3 linked regions of the Oryzias latipes genome follow. The protein of the gene in region 1 interacts with the protein of each later gene in a biochemical or structural test. Links are inferred from orthologs where the notes say so. Each region holds a gene or a part of one and is shown on either strand. Other genes may lie near its edges.

Evidence for each region.
Region 2: the proteins of ctnna1 (region 1) and junction plakoglobin form a complex in vitro, tested with the Homo sapiens proteins (2 studies listed by BioGRID). The link is inferred for Oryzias latipes from reciprocal best matches to the Homo sapiens genes CTNNA1 and JUP.
Region 3: the proteins of ctnna1 (region 1) and tjp2 form a complex in vitro, tested with the Homo sapiens proteins (2 studies listed by BioGRID and IntAct, with this or other methods). The link is inferred for Oryzias latipes from reciprocal best matches to the Homo sapiens genes CTNNA1 and TJP2.

Annotation. Positions count from the first base shown.
Region 1 is NC_019868.2:19,914,240-19,919,733, reverse strand, and holds part of ctnna1 (catenin alpha-1), read right to left. Parts: intron 2,729-5,494; coding exon 2,525-2,728; intron 1-2,524. UniProt on the Homo sapiens protein: Associates with the cytoplasmic domain of a variety of cadherins. The association of catenins to cadherins produces a complex which is linked to the actin filament network, and which seems to be of primary importance for cadherins cell-adhesion properties.
Region 2 is NC_019859.2:29,199,102-29,205,328, forward strand, and holds the start of junction plakoglobin, read right to left. Parts: upstream 3,391-6,227; 5' UTR 3,291-3,390; intron 3,183-3,290; 5' UTR 3,078-3,182; intron 1-3,077. UniProt on the Homo sapiens protein: Common junctional plaque protein. The membrane-associated plaques are architectural elements in an important strategic position to influence the arrangement and function of both the cytoskeleton and the cells within the tissue.
Region 3 is NC_019870.2:25,440,282-25,446,376, reverse strand, and holds the start of tjp2 (tight junction protein ZO-2), read right to left. Parts: upstream 3,391-6,095; 5' UTR 3,079-3,390; coding exon 2,972-3,078; intron 735-2,971; coding exon 605-734; intron 1-604. UniProt on the Homo sapiens protein: Plays a role in tight junctions and adherens junctions. Acts as a positive regulator of RANKL-induced osteoclast differentiation, potentially via mediating downstream transcriptional activity.

The DNA of each region.
Region 1 (5,494 bases):
TCAATAGTTATTTGCAACATCAGAGAAAACTCAGAACTAACTTTTAGTGAACTTTGCTGCCACCAAGCAGCAACCAGACAGTAAAATATCAGGAAGCATATGGATAGATGTGGCTATACAGCATTTTGTTTTTTATACACACAGAAAGATGCCGTTCTCTGAACTGCATGAGTCACACCTGTGCCCGTCTTCTCTGGGTCTACTAAACAAGACAGCACATATCCTCATAGCAAACATCTTTGTAGAGGCATGATTAACCACATATGCAGCGCTGCTGTCACAATGTATATTTGTAGCTTTTAAAAGTACAGGGTTGAGACACCAGCTCTTTTACTGCCAACTCAAAGCTACAGCTTTCGAAGCTACTAAATCCACAAAGCATCACAACATCTTGCTCCTTGTTAGTACTGCTAAAGCTCAGCATATGGTGCATTTAAAACATTTTTTTTTACTTGTATATACTCTATGAATTTCAATTTGACCGTATTAAAAGATTTTTTAAAAAGTGTAATGTCCCAGGTAAGCTATGTGCTAGCACAAAAAAGCCAAAATTGGCTCCCAAGCTATATGGTTCCTGATCCCTGCACTAAATAATTGTCTAAACTTCCCATAGAAATAGTGAGCAAAAAATATACATGAACATGGGTTTTACTTTTTCAATTAGTGAACACTAAAATATTCCACAATAATTTTTCCCCCATTATCTAGCAAAAGTGACTTAACTTGTGTGGTAGCCAGGATGCAGCACCCCAATCATGTCTTAAAATCCACCTTCTTCAACCATTGACAGAGGTCTCATTTCTTTTAGAAAAATTTCAAGGACTCTCTGTGTAAGTATTGCATCCATCTCTGGTGTGCACTGGCTCCTTCCCAGTCTACAGTCGGTGACGCACACCAGAATTCCGGGCTTCTGCGTCCGGAACGCATCTTGACGTGTGGGTGGTGTCCACTTCATAACATGGAAGTCCCAACACTTTTAAACTTGATGGCGAAGGAGACATTAATAATTGTGGTTTATAGGGAAAGAGCTATGAAAACAAAAGGTCTGGAGCAAGATTTGCACCACTGTGACTTTGCTTATCAACCCTCTTCCTATTGTAGACGGCAGTTGAGCACTAATAAACAGTAAATACACAGAAGTCCGGTATGTCCCACACCATCTGGATACGCGTTCATAAACCATGTGGACCGCGCTATTGAACGCACCACACGCGGACGGTGTGAATGAAGCACTAAATGCAAGTTTTTGTTCGTCTTCTATGGTTGAGGGAGGGTTATACCGCCTCCAAAAGTTCCTGTTGTGCTTTGCGATGACTGTGGCTGATGGTTTTCATAACCATTTAAAATGCCCAGAAATCGTTGACATCCCTAGTGGACTACACAGTTTATTAACACAGAATAAAGCTAAAACAAAACCATAGTATTTCATCTTACAGTGAAATTTAAATAGAATAGTGTACTGCATGAAAGACTTATAACGAGGATTACTTTAACATACAACCAAACAAGGTTTACAGGCTTACTGTGGAGGGTGATTTCTAAATCTCAATTTAGCATGGCTTGGTGATTACATTCTAGATTGAGTACGTTCACACTGGCCAAGACGTGACTAAAAATGTGCAAAGGGCCAGAGGATTTCTGTATTTAGGACCAACTTTGCCTCGATTTTTATTCACTAAATGCTTTTAACAGATGCCTTCCGACAACTGTACCGTTACAATCAAGACAAAACCACTCAAAAACTGCTGAAGATATGACAAAATGTACAGGTCCTGCAATGGCCCCCAGACAATTGTCGGGGGGTCCACTGCACAGGCTTTGTAACCAACCGGTCGCAGATTTGAACGAAGGACAGCCAAAAGCCCTGTAAACACATTTATCTCTATCCAAATTAGTGTGTGCACACGCCAAAAAACTGAGCCGTTTGGTACACCTTTACAAAGTGTTTCTGAGGTGTAGGATGTTTAAATCTGCCCAAACTTTCAGACATAAGTAACTATAGTTCAGAAGCCCCAAAATAGTTCTTCCGCCCCCTTTATTGAAACTTGATTTGGGTGCATTTTTTTTTTGACAAGTGAAACCTCTGAAACTATACTTAAGTCAATGCTTAGCCTAAAAATGCAATATCAATTTTATGACAGTGGATGAATTTTAATTTAAAGAATTTATGTGATATTTATCAGGTTTTCTTTATGTTTTTATTAGATTTCTTATTTTTTAGAAATTTTCAAGCTTTAAAAGTTTTACTTTTGTGCAGTTTAAACCTTAATTATGTACTTTTTTGAGGAAAGAGAAAAATCATAACCAAGCAAAATGGGGTTGGAACTTTGAAACAGGAGAAATTAATCAATATTTAATAAAATGGTATTGAACCATAAATCAAATTATGAACCCATAGATCTCAATCAAGTCAGAAATGCAGCATCTAAACGCACCTTTTGTCACTAGTGATTAAAAAGAGCAAACCAAACTTAGAAGACATAACAGCACATCAAAAATGGGGGAAAAAGTTAAAGACACTTACATTTCCCATGTACTCGCTCAGAAGGTCCTGTAGTGCTTGACGCACAGAGTTGCATTCCGCCACAATGCGCTCCCTGCGGTCATCACGTGTGCAAGAGGAATCAGCCATGAGGGCAGCTCCACTAATAATGCTTTCAAGGCGCTCCTCCAGAGAAGGACGAAAGCGCTCCTCGCTGAACGCCAGAGGGTCAACAATGATTTGTTTCTGTCAGGAAGACACAAGAAGAAGAGATTTAAAAACAGAAAAAGAAAATGGGTGTCTTGTTGCCAGGGTAGGAAAAAAAAAAGCACAGAACTAATATTAAGATAAGACTTTAGTTATCCCACAAAGTGAAAATTCTTTTGACTACAGCAGCAAAGTGACATTCAGAAATCAAAGTAACATTACAACTAAAGACAACATTGTCTTTAGCAGTAATGTATCTTTTAAAAACCGTTAAGGGTTACCATTTAAATGAATGGAAAACATTTAGGAGGCAAGTCTTAGCAACTAAGGATCTATTACAAAAAAACAATTAAAATATGGAAAACAATCAGAAAAAGAACTTCAATCACACTAAATCTATACAGATTTAAAAAGATCTTTATATCTAGAGTGACAGTCTTTTTTTTTTTGGAAATACACTTAAATATTTATACTAACAATATATTTATATCAACAATTCATTGCCTCACATACTTGGGACAAACATAGAATTGCAGTATTTATAGAAATGAACCAAAACCAATTTGGAGGAAAATGGTACTTTTATTTGCTTCAGTTAAAATATAATGAAAAATATTTCAATTTAATATTTCAGGTCGTAAGAGTTTCAAAATTGCTAAATAGCCACTGGTTCAAAAGTTTATTTATTCTGTAGTTTGCTTTAACTATTCTCACATCAATTGAGATTAAATCAAGCAGCTTTAGCCACCAAGTGTGGTGGTAGATGGTTAGTCAAATGGTTGTAACACCTACAGTTGCACACATTTTGTTGAATGACCAAATAACTCCTTGTTGATACAAATAATGGAAAACAGCTGTTGGATTGTTAGATTTTGCGGTTTCTTTAGACAACCACCTCCAGCTCCCTCTATTCTGTCTTGTCTGGCCTCCTCTGTGTGTCATATCCCCATGACAACAGGCATTTGAGAGAGACATGGAGGTGGAAGCCCAGAGAAACAGCACCACTGTTGACTCATTTCCTAATTTTGCCTATGGGCTCTTATACACCAAACCTATTTGAAGAAATGAAAAATCTGCTCTTAAACACAACTACAAGCATTACAGCAAAAATGTATGATTTGCATTCAAAGAAACCTTTACAGAGCAGACTAAAGTGACATAACTACAGCAACAGTGCAGTAAAAATCACTATGCAGTGTGTAGATAAGGTGAGGTTGTTCTTTTTTCAGCAATATCTTAAGTCTAGCTTAGCTAGACATGTTTAAATATTTTTTTTTTTTTACCATGGATGAAATTAAAATATCCAACTGTCTAAATTTAGTGATGCATAGATTTTTAGAATTTTTCCCTTATTACTTGCTTTTACGATTAAAAAAAAAAAAAGCATTTTAAGAGGATTAAAGGAAATTAGGTCATTAATGCTTACAGCTCACTTACAGGGCCAAACAGTCACAAAAAACCTCTCTCTCACTGACAGACCTGGCACATTTAATCAGTTTAATACAAAGGACCAGCATGGTCCAACAAAGCTGATGGCACAATACAGAGTGAAACAAAAAAAACCTGTGAAAACGTGTACTCAATGATGCATTCACAAACACTCAAGATGTTCCTGGCAGCTGATTTCTGGTCAGAACTCAAATGCTTTGCTAAGATCTGTTTTTTTAAAGACTTTTTTCTTAATGAAGCTAATTTTAAAAAAATGGTGCAATAAAATGGCATTGATAAACCAGCCTTGCACTGTTCTCAACGTTTAAACAGAGGAGCTTTCAAGGAATTTTCTTTAAAGATTCCAGTATCATTTTACTATAAGGAACAAGCTTTTCAAGAGTAATTTTCATTTTTCCAAGTGAAGGTAGGTCAACTGAGAAACATGAAAGAATATTGACAAAACCTAATTTTATAGTAAAACATTGACATTCTCCTTTAAAAGAATCATCATTAAACTTTCCTTGGTGACAGTGACTGCTAAGGATAGTTCTAAGGAAGGCTTCCAGAGCAAATGTGGAAAATTAAGCACAGAATTCTAAAGCTGCGTTCACACTGAATGTGATTCATGCATCAAAATTTGACAGACATGATGAAAGGTCCTGCAACGTGTTCTGAAGGTCGGGCGCAGTGCGGTGGTGTGGCAGGAGCGCGTCTCGGTCGTTGTGGCATGGTGCATCCAGAGTTCAAATATCTGAACTTTGGCAACGAAGGCGCAGCATGATGACATGATCAGAGGTCAGAGTTCAAACCAAATACCAAATAGGAAGAAAATCTGATCGCTCTCCTCCTGAACTCCATAAAATGGGTTGTTTTTCCATTGAGACAATATAAAAGGTCGTCTAGCTTTATTCTTATTTTTCCTTTCGCGGACTAATGCATGACAAGTCATCACACCAGGTCACAGAGAGACAAGAGTACCGCTGAAAGCAGCGGTCATTCAGACGCAGCTCTTGCAGCAGATGGCGAGCCTCACAGTACTGGGAGAGGGTCTGAACTAGGCCTGCACAATAAATCGCAAATTTGTCGTTATCGCAATATCAAGCTATGAAATCCGCATATCGCAAAAGACGGCGAAACTTGCAATAAATGGTTACCTTAAATGTGTTTGAACAATCTCATGGCAGCTTGAAGTATTTAACGAATCAAATAAATCTCTTTATACCGTTTTCACAAACATTCATGATAGAATGGGCCACTCTCAGGAGCTCGTGTGGAACGTGGAACTGTCATAGGATGCCACCTGGGTAACAAATCCAGTTATGAAAATTCCTGGCTCCTAAATATTCAACTCCATCATAACAAAATGGAAGAATT
Region 2 (6,227 bases), on another chromosome or scaffold:
TAGAAAACATCCAAACATCACGACCAGCCGAGCGTCACCAAAGCGAGAGCTCCCTCAGCAGGAAGCCCCCCAGGTCAGCCAGGACGCTGTCGCACATGCTCATGTGCGTCCTGGAGGAGACCTCTTCACATGCAGGGGGGGCTCCTCCGACTCCCAGCAGCCTCGCTGCTCTCATATGGAGGCTGACAAGCAAATAAAGCAGATTATGCTTGTCCACATCTGTAAAGCTTCTTGTACCATCTGGATGAGGAATCGTTTGACATTTAGGTCAGCCCCCCCCCTCCCAGCACAACCGCTCTGGTGGGGAGACACTCTCTGTGAGCCCCCCCCGACTGAAGCTTGTCTGGCTGTGCGCTGGCGGGGGGGACAACTGGATTGCAGTTTGCTATAAATCAATAAGGGAGGATGTGAAGTGATGCACAGCTGATGAGTTTATGCTAACGGATGACGGGAAGTGCTGCTCACCGCCGCCGATCACCCAACAGCTGAGAGCGGCCCGCGGACCACGGCACCAACCCACGGGAGGCCCGGGTCCACCAGGAATCGCTTGAGAAATGCCAGATGACCAAAGTGACGTCACTACAAGGAGAGGCAGCTAACGAGAGCGCGTTACCAGAGTGCTTTTGTGCAACGCTGCACCTGTCTGGACCCGACGGGTCCAGGTCCTGGATCTGGATCCGGTCCAGACTCCAGTGAATAAAGCGAGCAGCAGAAAGGCCGGAAGCTCCTGTCCTGTCAGCTGAGTCACAGCCGTGACTTTCACGAGTGGAAGTAGGCCAGCGGCTGCAAACTGCAGCGCAGTGGAGATCCCCCTCTGGGCCCTCGCTGTGAATTAAAGGAAACGTGAGCCGTCTCAGAGGAGGCGCCCGGGAGCAGCCAGGGATCGCATTACACACAACTGATAAAAGAGGAGGAGGAGGAGGAGGAGGCGTGGAGCGGGGTGCAGCCAAGCAGCAATAACCGCTCATTTGCCAGGAGTACTGCACAAAGTTCACCAAACACGCCGGCATAAATATGACACAGCCGGAGGGGGGAGGAGTCACAGACTCCCTGATTCTAGCCGAGGTCATGCCCGCCTTCACGCTGACGAGCTCCTTTTTGGACTCTCCAGAAGACCGAGGAGCCCGTTGGGTAAATGTTGGGATCTCTGAACCCCAAAGAGGACGAAGCGCGGCTAGATGGGACGGCACGCCGATGAGCCTAAGTTGGTGTAAGAGGCTGAAAACGGCGTGGGGGGTGGGGGTGGCGAGCTGCTATGCATCAGTGTGCGCTGTGACACAAGATTAATTTTTTAAGGAGAGGGCACGGGGGGGGGGGGGGGGGGGGTGCTGCTGACACCCCACAGGAAGGTTGAGCTGCTGTCTGCAGGCTGTGTAGGAACCGGTCCAGAGATGCTGCCAGAACCAGAACCGGGTCATGAGAATGTGTTGTTATCCACAGCAGCGCTCCTCTAAACAGCAGCGGAGACGGATCGAAATCTTTAAAAAAAAAACACCTCCTGCTTATTTGCTTTCTGTTTCAACCCCCCACCCCCCACCCCACTCCTCAGATCGCAACTCTGGCCGATCATCCAAGTGTGAAAAGTTTCTCTTTTGACTCAGACTCTGAATGCAGTGGTAACATGTGGTAATGAAGGACATTCTTCCCCAACAGGAATGGGGTGGGGGGGCTCAAACAGGTCTGACATGGTTTCTAAAGAGAGGGTGTCATCTGACCTCGTCTTAGTCTCGGGGGTCACTGATCAACCTTGGGGTAACTGTACTTCCCTAGCATAAAGGCCCTGACAGCAGGAATGCGACCTGACGGTGGGATTTGTTTGCTGCTCTTGTAGTACATCAGTCCGACTCTTTGCATTCTAAACAGAAATGACAGCGTCGACTTCCTGCTGCTTTGATGTGATGAAAACAAACTTCAAGTGGAATAAATCGGATCTTGTCTGCTGGATCGGAGGCTGTCGCATAGCCTCAGCGAGGCGCAGATCCCAGAGAGGCTGATGGGAACTCTTATCTCTCTGCATTCCCTTCACATGAGAAAAAAGGAAAACAAAGACGAGCGCAGAGAAAACAAAGAGAACGGAGAGTTCCTCCTGGAGCCGCGGCGCCTCGAGGACCAGGAGAAAGATGAGGGCCGGAGTTTAATCCAGGGAGGAAAAGATGAGGCTGGGGTCTGTAATCCCTCGGAAGCAAGCAAACCTGTAAACCGAGGGGCCTCCTGGGTCCTGCTTCTGCTAATGTAGGCCAGTATCAGAGAATTTGGGGGTTGGATTAGTCATGTCACCACAGCTGTGGAATCAACTGTAATTCCTCCAACCCACCCGCCCTCCCCAGGAGCGGTTTCCAGTGTGTGCGTGAGTGGGAGGGGCCTCAACAACCACAGAAACCTTTTTGAACAGGTTTCCCTGTCATGTAAACAGGAACCTTTTGTTTTTGTTTTTTTTAATCTATGCTGGAGCTCTATCACACCTGCCAAAGAAAGTGAACTACCAGAGGTCTGACTTAACCCTGGTACGGATTAAACCAGACCAAAGTTGATCCGGGAAAAGGCTCTGGAGTCCATAAACTGACTTTAATATCAAGGATCGAAGCATTCTGTCAGTGGTGAGGCTTCAATGACACCACGGAATTTTCTTTCTGAGGCCTCTTTGATATTCGCGCCGCAGGGAAACACAGACCCACTTTCCTTTTTACCTGCCGCACGCGCGCGCGCACGGCGCCATGGAAACAGGGTCTTACGACAGAACCGGCCCGTGTCAACGTTCGGTACCAGGTCCAAGTTGCCATGTTAAAACTAAAAGCCAGGACGCGCGTTCACGCGGACAGAGACAACCTGTGGTAGTTCGAGCACGCGCTGAACTCCGGAGCAGAAGCGGGCAGAGTTTTGAGGCACGCGGAAATGAGGGCAGAATGAAAGGCGCCGGGCGGTCACAGCACACAAGCGAGCCACTATGCAGCCACAAATAGACCATTTCGAAAACACTTATTTTTTTTCTGTCACCAAAACGAGAGAAAAACATCGATGATCCAAACGGCAGAGGCCGCATTATTAGCGCGGAAAATGTATCGCGTCGTGACTCCTACCTGAGCTAAAGGCGGAAGGCTCTCCAGAAAATTCCGGCTGTGTGTGTTTTCTGCGGTGCGAGTCCTTCGGTTTCGTCGCTCCTCTCCCAGCCGTTGCTGCCGTCGCTGACGGTGAAACAAATGAGTCAAAGGAGCGTCACCTCCGCGCAGGCCCCGCCCACCTCCCAGCGCGGCCCCACCCGGCCCGGTTCCCCAGCCGCGAGCCGACCTCACCGTCCGGACCTGCTGCCCGTAAACATTCACTCCCTCCCGCTGCAGAGCGCCGAAACTTGCACAAAGATCCTCTATTCCGAAGAGCCCCACATCGGGGGTGAAACCCCAAACCACAGCCAAACACGGTTAAAGCACTCTTTCAGACAGCTGGTGGGGGAGGGGCTCTGCTGGGTAACAACAAGGCCGAGCGTTTGTTCTCAGCGCACCTGCGTGACGCTCGACCACACCTTGATTACAGCGAAACCAGGTGAGACACAGCCGCGGGGGTGGGGGGTACGGGGACATTTCATCATCACGTGGAAAGGAGGGAGAAAGACACGGATGACTGTGTGTTCTCACGATATGTGAAAACGAGAGAGAACTTATAAACCAAGAGAACAGTGAAGGATATTTACCTGTGCAGATACACAGATCTGCACGGTTAATGACGCGGTGAAGCTGTGACAGGACCTTCTCTGCAAAGGTCACGGGGGTCAGCTAGCCTCACCGGCAGGGGCAGGCGTGTCTGGACGACTATGCCTCCTATTCAGTGTCACAGCTTTGTTTGAGTCACCCTCAAAATCCAAACATCTCTGAATCATCCGAGTTTTCCACAACAGTTTATATTCTCCACCCAGATATAATCTCTCTGGATGAGCTGCAGCTCCTGTCACATCATCATTATTTAAAGATGAAAGATCTTTAAATGACATGATCAGACTTCTTTCTTCACAGAAACTTGACATTTTCCAGCATCCGTCTGTTCTACCCTGTGTCCATAAGTCAGGCTGTTTCCGGGAAACTTTTCCGCTGTTCCAGCTCAGAATTCTCCTCGTGGAGACTCTAAGGAGATAGAAACTCCTTACATTTTCTAAAGTGAGGAACTTCTGCAAACTTTTAAAGATTAAACTTTTGAAAAAGGATTTTGAAAAAATAAAAAATGGAAACCCACTTTGATCATCAAAAGATCTTTCAAGCCTGGATCTCAGCTCTCACACAGACATCTCTACAGGAAATGCAGTTTTAGGAAATAATGCCTCTGAATCTTGTATATTTTTTCCTGTATATTCTAAGTATTAATAAGAATGAGGACTGATGAAGCCACTTGGTAATGTTTTAAGAAAGACGATTTTAAGTCCACACGCCATGACTCAACTCAACATCACCTGCATGAATAAGAACCTTCACCGCCATAAATGAGGAGGGATCAGCTCCCTGTGTGTTAGGTCACGTTGTGTCTGGACAAAAGGCTGTCAGTTCTGCCAGAGCTTTTCTTTTTGCTATTTGATCAATCAGTAATAGTTTCTCATTGAAAAACAAGTAAAAAAAACAGAACAGTAAAAGTAATTATTTCTCCCAGATATCATGAATTCCTGTTGAACGCTCTGAGGTCATCTCATGTTGGGTGGGGGCAGATGAGGGCTGTGATGAACACTGACCCCCGTCCACCTCAGAAGGAGAACAACGCCTCAGATTGACAGGAATTGTTTTAATAGACTTGCAGAGGATGCCGGCGTGCAGAGCGGCCTGCATGACGGCGTGAGCTGGTGATGGAGGCGGATAGGTCGGGCTGCGCTCCCCGCCTCAGGCTGCATCCTCTCCCTCTTTTGTGACAGTCCTCATCTGCGGCTCTGCAAATGAAAGAGACAGTGGCGGAGAGGCACAAGGCATGCTGGGTCACTGCTGGTTATGTAGGCCATCATGTTTGTCACAGTGAATGTGCGCGCTCCTTAAAAATAGCTCCGGGCTTAATTGACACTCTGGAGTCTTCATGTGTTGCTTAGGGGGGGGGGTTTGATGTCCATTAGACTGTTCACTGAGTGGAACGGTGGTTCCTGGTGCTGAACAGCAGTGTCTGACGGGGCAGATCTTCTGCCAGAGCAGTCCGGCTGTGACTTTTGCTTCCTTGGATATGTCTGCGCAGTGGACAGCGGGGTTGCAGGGACATAAATGCTGCCATTGTTTCAGCACAGCAGCCTCTTTGTTTGGAAAATTGGCCAAGAATTAAAAGGGGAGGGGGACATTTTTAAGTGTGTGCAGTGAGGAAATGTCGAGCTTCTAATGTCTGTTTCTTGTCTGAAAGATGTGGCTGCATCTTGTCTGAATCGGGTGAAATATGGAGGAAAAGGTGAGTGGAGGGGAGTGCATCCACTCACCTGTTTCATAACCAGGCAGTGACTCTCCCTGCATAGCTCAGTCTGCCTTTCAGTTCAGAAACATGACATGGGGCTTCATGGTGACAGGCTCTGCTGCCCCACAGGAAATGGCCGCAGCGTTCCCAGGGAGAGGAAGTGGCCCGGAGCAGACGGCAGGCTCCCTGGATTGATGGAGACGGTGGTAAATTATTAAGCACCCCTGACAAAAGGACAGCACAGTGCTGGGCATCATCTCAGAGATGCTGTGGAACAATAGACAGAGGTCCAGCTGCAGCCGCCACCTGTGTCATCACAGAGGCAGGAAAACGAGAGAACCGGAACAGAATCTCTGTTTTAATGAGAATGTAGTTAATAATTCAGAACTGTCATGAGCCGTGTCCCTATTTTTATTTGACGATGAAAACAAACAAACAAACAAAAAAAGATACCCATCGTCCTCACATTTCTGATGAAGAAGATGGCTTCTGATTGCTATTTGAGAAGCAAACGGCTCTGTGTGAAAACAAAACATTACAGTTACTTCCTCTTTATCTTTCTGCTTCCTTAACCGAGCGCCACAGGGAATCATCTGCTTCCTTTTAACCCTCTCTGCTCCAACCTCCCCGCTTACACCAATCACCTTCATGTCTCCCCCTTTTCTACATCCATGAACCTCCTTTGAACTTCCTCCCCCCTGGTAGCTCCAACCTCTGCATCCTTTTGCCAACATCATCACTGTTCCTCCTCTCAACGTGTCCACACATCTCGATCTGCTTCCCTGCGTTTATCCCCAAAATATCTACCATGATCTGTTCCCCTGAAT
Region 3 (6,095 bases), on another chromosome or scaffold:
GCTGCATTTAGAATTGGTTGTGATTTATTAAGGGAAAGATGCGTAGGATGTGCGTGCGCACGGTTTTATAAATCCGAATATTTCTGTGCGTACGCACGTCCTATGTTTCATCCGTACGCCATTTCTGACGCAAATCCTACACAAAGTTTTATAAATGAGGCCCCAGGAGACACTCTTTAATTTTCTTAAATCCACAGTGAGTCTTAGAAATGCGAGGTATGTATGGATTTTGCTTGTGTATACCGACTTCAAACCGATTTTCTGTGGAACACAGCGGTTAAACAAAAATCTGTCAGATTATTTAAACAGGACTTTGGTGAAGCTGCACCGCTTGGTAGATGGAACAATCAGATGCCTAAATGAAAGTCTGTTAAAGGAGTGCTTAAGGACAGGGCAGGATTGAAAATGGAGGCTTTGAGGGCTTGTGATGTATTAATTTCGCTCTTTAAAGGATGGGTCTTGAGAAGTCCACAGATCAGTTCACTACATATGAGGATTCAGAAGGTGTCAGCATTCAAAGACCGTTTTTGGATAGTAACACTTATTGAAGGAACTCTGCACCTCCGAAGGGATCTCATCAACATCCAACACCGGAGGGACCTACCATTGTGATTGCAGAGAAGCTCCGTGAAGACAGGCGGCGCAGATACAAGTACTGGGCTTCTCTGGACCAGCAGAATCTGCGGCTGGACTTGAGCAGATCGGTGCTGGTGGGGTCAGAACAAGCCTGGTCCCTGTGCAGAGGAAACACGGGGACATTTAGACGTTTACCAACAAAAGACAGACAGACAGAAAGGTTTGCAGTGTGCTCTGAGTTTTAACTAGTAAAATATTTAAAGGGAACATTTCAGCGAGCTTCCTGTCAGAGTGTCTCCTCCTCAGCTCTCAGTCGGTTGGAGTTGAAGCGCGTGGGCTTTTAGCAGACGGAGAGCTGCTATTTTTAGAGCCAAATGAATTAGACTTTAAGCTCGCTGGAATTGTGCAATTCCTCCACTTCAAGTCTGCATCTGTTTTCTAATAATCTTTCAGTTTGCAAGTAATGCTGGATGAGAGATTAAGCACTTTCTACAGATTAAACAGCAGTTAGTGAATCTTGAAGTAGATTATTTTGGAAAACTTGGATGAAAGCAAGTGCGCATTTTATAGGATGAAAGGTCTGAGAAGAAGCAAAGGAACTGCCTGTTCTGATCTGGCCTGGTTAAGACATCTGCTGGATTCATGCAAAAGGACCAAACTCACAGATTATAATCCCGCACTTCAAGAGCAACACGCTGTTCCTAATCATTAACATATGGCAAAGATTTTCGCTGCCAGCCTGACGCAGCTTATATTTCATCCTCACGTCAACAGGAAGCAGCAGAAATGTGCGGTGCCGGTCTAAAGGGTGCAGAACCTGGATCTTTCTTTGCACCCAGACCTTTAAGCTTTCTATCTAGCATGTATAAAAAAATAAAAATAACAAAAAAAAGAGAGGAAGACTAGGAACCATCAAGATGCAGTTTCCATGGCGACATACACACCTCTGGGTAACAGGTTTACCCGGCAGGAATATTTCTGTGCACTGAAATTTTTCCCAACAACACACCATGATTTCAGTCTTCCCAACCCGTTAAATGACCTCCCCTCCAGTTGTGCAGTTCAGTTCAAGCAATGTTTTTAGCTAGAACTCAAGTGACATGTTGATGATATTGATGTCATCCATGTATTGTCAGGATTTTTGTTGTTTTGTATTTTTGTTGTCATAGTTGAATCAGGCTTAACCCTTGTGCCATCTTGTGGGGTCCAGATGACCCCACAAGACAGTGTGCTTAACCTTTTTTCTTGGATTACATGAAATCCTCTCCACCTTCATCCACCTTTGTCATTGTAGAGGTATCAGGTCAGTGTAAGGGTGGGGTCATCTGGACCCAACGAGATGGCACAACGGTCAAATCAGCTTCTGCCCATCTCCATCAAACATGTTTATCGTTCTCTCAAATACGGTAGATACTCTTGTGACTGACTGAAGTTATCAGCAAGTGTTTAAATGTATCTATTTTTTTCATCTTTGAAATAAACAAATGAAAAGAAAAAAAAAAAAACAGTATGAAGATTAATCGGTCCACATCTGAAGAGGTTGGACAGAAGTTTACATGGACATAGACTGAAAAGGGAGTTTTTGGGAAAGCATGTCAGCTGATTAAAGCGGTCATAAAGTAATCCAAAAACAGCATAACCTAAACTGATGCTCGCATGCCACTGCCTTTTTCAAAGGAGAAAGAGGCGGTGTTATCCAGACATCTTTCCAATGAGCCCAAATGCAGAAGCCGTTTCCCGTTTGCAGCCTCTCTTTAAAAGCTAGAAACTCTTTTTCTTTCTTTGATGGAAGTGAAAAGCTATCCGTGAAGCATCTTTGTGACAGAGATAAAAGGAGCTGCTCGCATCCTCCAACTTCACTGAGTCATTCAAAAAGAAACTAGACCATCTTTGATGAAAGAAGGTGATAGCAGCATCTCCCACCCTTTGAAAAAAGCTGGTTAAGCATGATGTGTGCATAAAATGAAACTAATGTTGGATGTTTTTTTAATAACATAACAGTTGGAGAAACCGTAAAAACCCAGAAACCATCAATGAAACTACCAAAACAGCCATAACAAAACTGTTCATGAGATCCTACTATTTTCAGAAAAGCAAAATTAATTTTTCACTCCATTATCCTTTATTTCCATTTTTTAACTGAAACACATCCTTTGGTCAGTTTGGAGAAACATGAGCTGCTTTGCACAGAAATGTTCTCTTATGATACAAAATAAAATAAAATAAAAAAAAAAAAAAACAAAGTTTAACAAAGAATTATAGTTCCGTCCCTGTGCAATATATGTAATGCAATATTGCTTCCATCCTGTTTTAATGCCATTAGATTTCATCTGCAGAAGTGAGCATCCCCCGCTTTCCTTCACAAAGTCTGGAAACGCAAAAAAAAAACACTCACCCTGAAGGTCTCCACAGTTTCCTGCCGGGTGGCAGGAGCTCGCGTTTGTTCAGGGGTACGATCCCCATGGCCGCTTGCATGATGGTGATAAACTTCTTGAACTTCATCTTTTACCTCTCCGTCAACAGCATCACTGCGAGTTCATGGCTGCTGCCGACCCTCCATCGATGCTAACAGAGCGCAGAAGCAAAGCACCTCTGCTCGCCTCCATCTGAATCATCGGGACTTCAGAGACGCTCTCGCGCCTCGGTGCATCTGCTTCTCCATGACAACCAGCCACACACTCCGTGTGCAGATGGGAGCCGTCCCCGCGGCTAGGCTACTACAGACTTGCGCCTAAGCACGACTCCGACAGATGTCCTTTTGGCTTTCCGAGTGATGAAGGATAAAAGGAAAACAAACAGCCACGTTGTAACCAGGAGGCGGGCTGGTGGAGAGGGGACGAACGACAGCACGTCACGCTTACATAACTGTGGAGCATCTCTGGGCATTACACTAATGAAAACACAGTTTCTGCCACCGCTGATGCTGCAGCTGCTGGGATAATTGTGGTACTAAGCCCTGACAGATCATGCACGCTCCCCACCCCCATCGCCTTTAATCCCCCCCTCCATCAAGGCTTAGTCTTCCCGCCACTTACACCACCCGTCTAACTTCACCCGAGCATCCACAGCTGACCACCATGAAAGGCGGATAAGGACCCCGACTGCACAAAATACTCCAAGACCGTCAAAAGATTTAAAACCACATCAAATTTCAGCTTTATGTAATTCCTGAATGATTCATGGAAGAATGGGAAACATCCGGCTGTGGGTTGAATTGGATGAAACAATATTAATCCTCTATGGATAAATTATACTTTTGTAATCCAGAAAAAAAACAAAGACAGGAAGTTTACTGTTGGAAAGTTTGAAATGCAGCAGCAGAATCTCACCACAGAGACCTGAATGCACCAATGAATGGATAGTCGGATCCAAACCAAGCAGATCCTCTGTTAGTTCTTCTATTCACGACGAGGAACAGGGAGAGTTCAACTTCCCCCTTCTGACGCTTCACTTTTATCCCAACATGTCAACTTTGGTCCCGTCTGGGACAGCGCTCAGAAATGCAACCTGATTTGCTTTCAAGCTACGTTCAGGAACTTCCAATGAAAAAGTCTACATAACCGGATGTAAATGCACGTTTCGGGCTCCCACACTGATGTGTAGCTACACAGGTTTTTACAACTCTTTTTGGGCTGTGTAAGAAAAAGCCTGTAGCAAGATTCGTGAGATTCTGATTGCTTCTGCATTTCACACTAAGCCCTTTCCATCTGAAGGAGGCTAGCAAACAATAGATAAAGAAAAAGCAGAAGAAGCCCCTCCCTGTTTGTCCAGTGTGAATACCACGGGCTACAGCATGTTCAACAACCCAAGTTTGGCATGTTTTAGAACGCATTTTTTAGAACGCATGTCAAATTCACGGTGTGTACGTTACCTTCCACATTTAGGGCAATTCATTCAGGCGAGTCGCATTGTGTAGAAAAGGGATATGCCACAATTTTTGCGTTAAAGCGGACCTGCAGATCTGAATTGTGGGGAAAGTGCATCGTTGCATGCCTATTGCATACCATTAGTTGGAAGTTTAAAAAAATCCCTGCTACGTTTGAGAAGAATTTAGTATTTATTATTTTATTGCAGTACACAAGGCTTAGTATGAGCCAACTGAAAGGTCTTTCTTCATAGTTACTTGCTTATTAGCAAATTAAAACAATTTTCCCCCCAGAATTTTTTGTTTTTCGTCATTCTTTTGCATCAGTCGTGCAGCGTGGAGCTTCAACAATGAACGCGCAGAGATGCAGTCAAGAAGAAAATACCTAAGCATCTTCACAGAAACTTAAGTTTTGGTTTACACTCACTTTTAACAAACCGTCACAAATCAGACTTACTCCTCTAAGCGATTTTTTAAGCTTCATGCCTGCAGCTTTATGTTTTGACCGTGATGTCTTCAGATGCAGATTTGACAACGTTTTGTAGAAGTCCTCTCTATTTCATAAAATATCAAAATACCCCCCCCCCCCCACACACACACACACACATCCCTGAAAAAAAGAGAAGGGGTGCAGTGTCCAAGGCAGGCCAGATTAAGTCCATCTTGATGCCAGAAGCCACCATGTCCTAAAAGCTTTCAAGCAAATAGTGATCATCTTTGTGCCCTCTGGATGAATGCCAGACGGCACAACTCCGGACAGGATTTGCATCCAGGCAGCTTGGATGTCTGGATTACGGTTCATGATGCTTGTGGCATGAAAGGCTGCAGCAGATTTCACTGAGCAGCAAAGACCCCTGGGAGGAAGGGAAAGTGCCAGGAGCATGGTGAGGTGGGGTGAGCAAAAATAACAAGCCTCTATTTTTAAAAGGCACTGACTAAGAGCACAAAGACGTCATGCAGACTGAAAGCACCACAAACACAGAGAGAATGGAGGTCCACTAAGATGTTACCCAATCAGGACAAATGAGCAAACAAAGAAACCTAGTTTCAATGAGGGCTGTAGCGGCTCCACACAGATCCTCTTATGCAGAACCTCTTCAGAACCTGGGATTGTCATTTTAATGCTCTTTATCTTGATATCAAATGATCCACTAATGACTGGACATTTTTCCAAGAAATCCCTGCTGAATAAACTGTAAAGATGTGATTTGGAGTCATTGATGAGTCACAACTCGCGTTGCAGTTTCATCTGCTTTTCGCCAACCTTTAGTCATTTTCGGCTCCACCACAGCACTTGTCCGACAGTAATACTGCTCACCAAAACTGCTCTTAGGTGTTTTTCCACAGCTGTTGCTACAACAACCACATTGACAAATATAAATTGCTAAGAAAAAGAAAAGACTAAGTAAAATTTATAGAGTAATATTTCTTTCATAGGTATGTTGAAGTTGTAAAATGATGTCAACATGTATAAATAACTTTTGTATCTGCGGATTATTTTCAGATTGGTGTGTAATGATTAATCAACTTATTCGATGAATATATTTATATTCCTTCAATCCAACCAAATCAAACTAGTTGTTCATTGAATCACTTATACCATTTTAAAATTGTTTCAAAAAGAAACAAATGATATTGATATTGGAAAAAACCA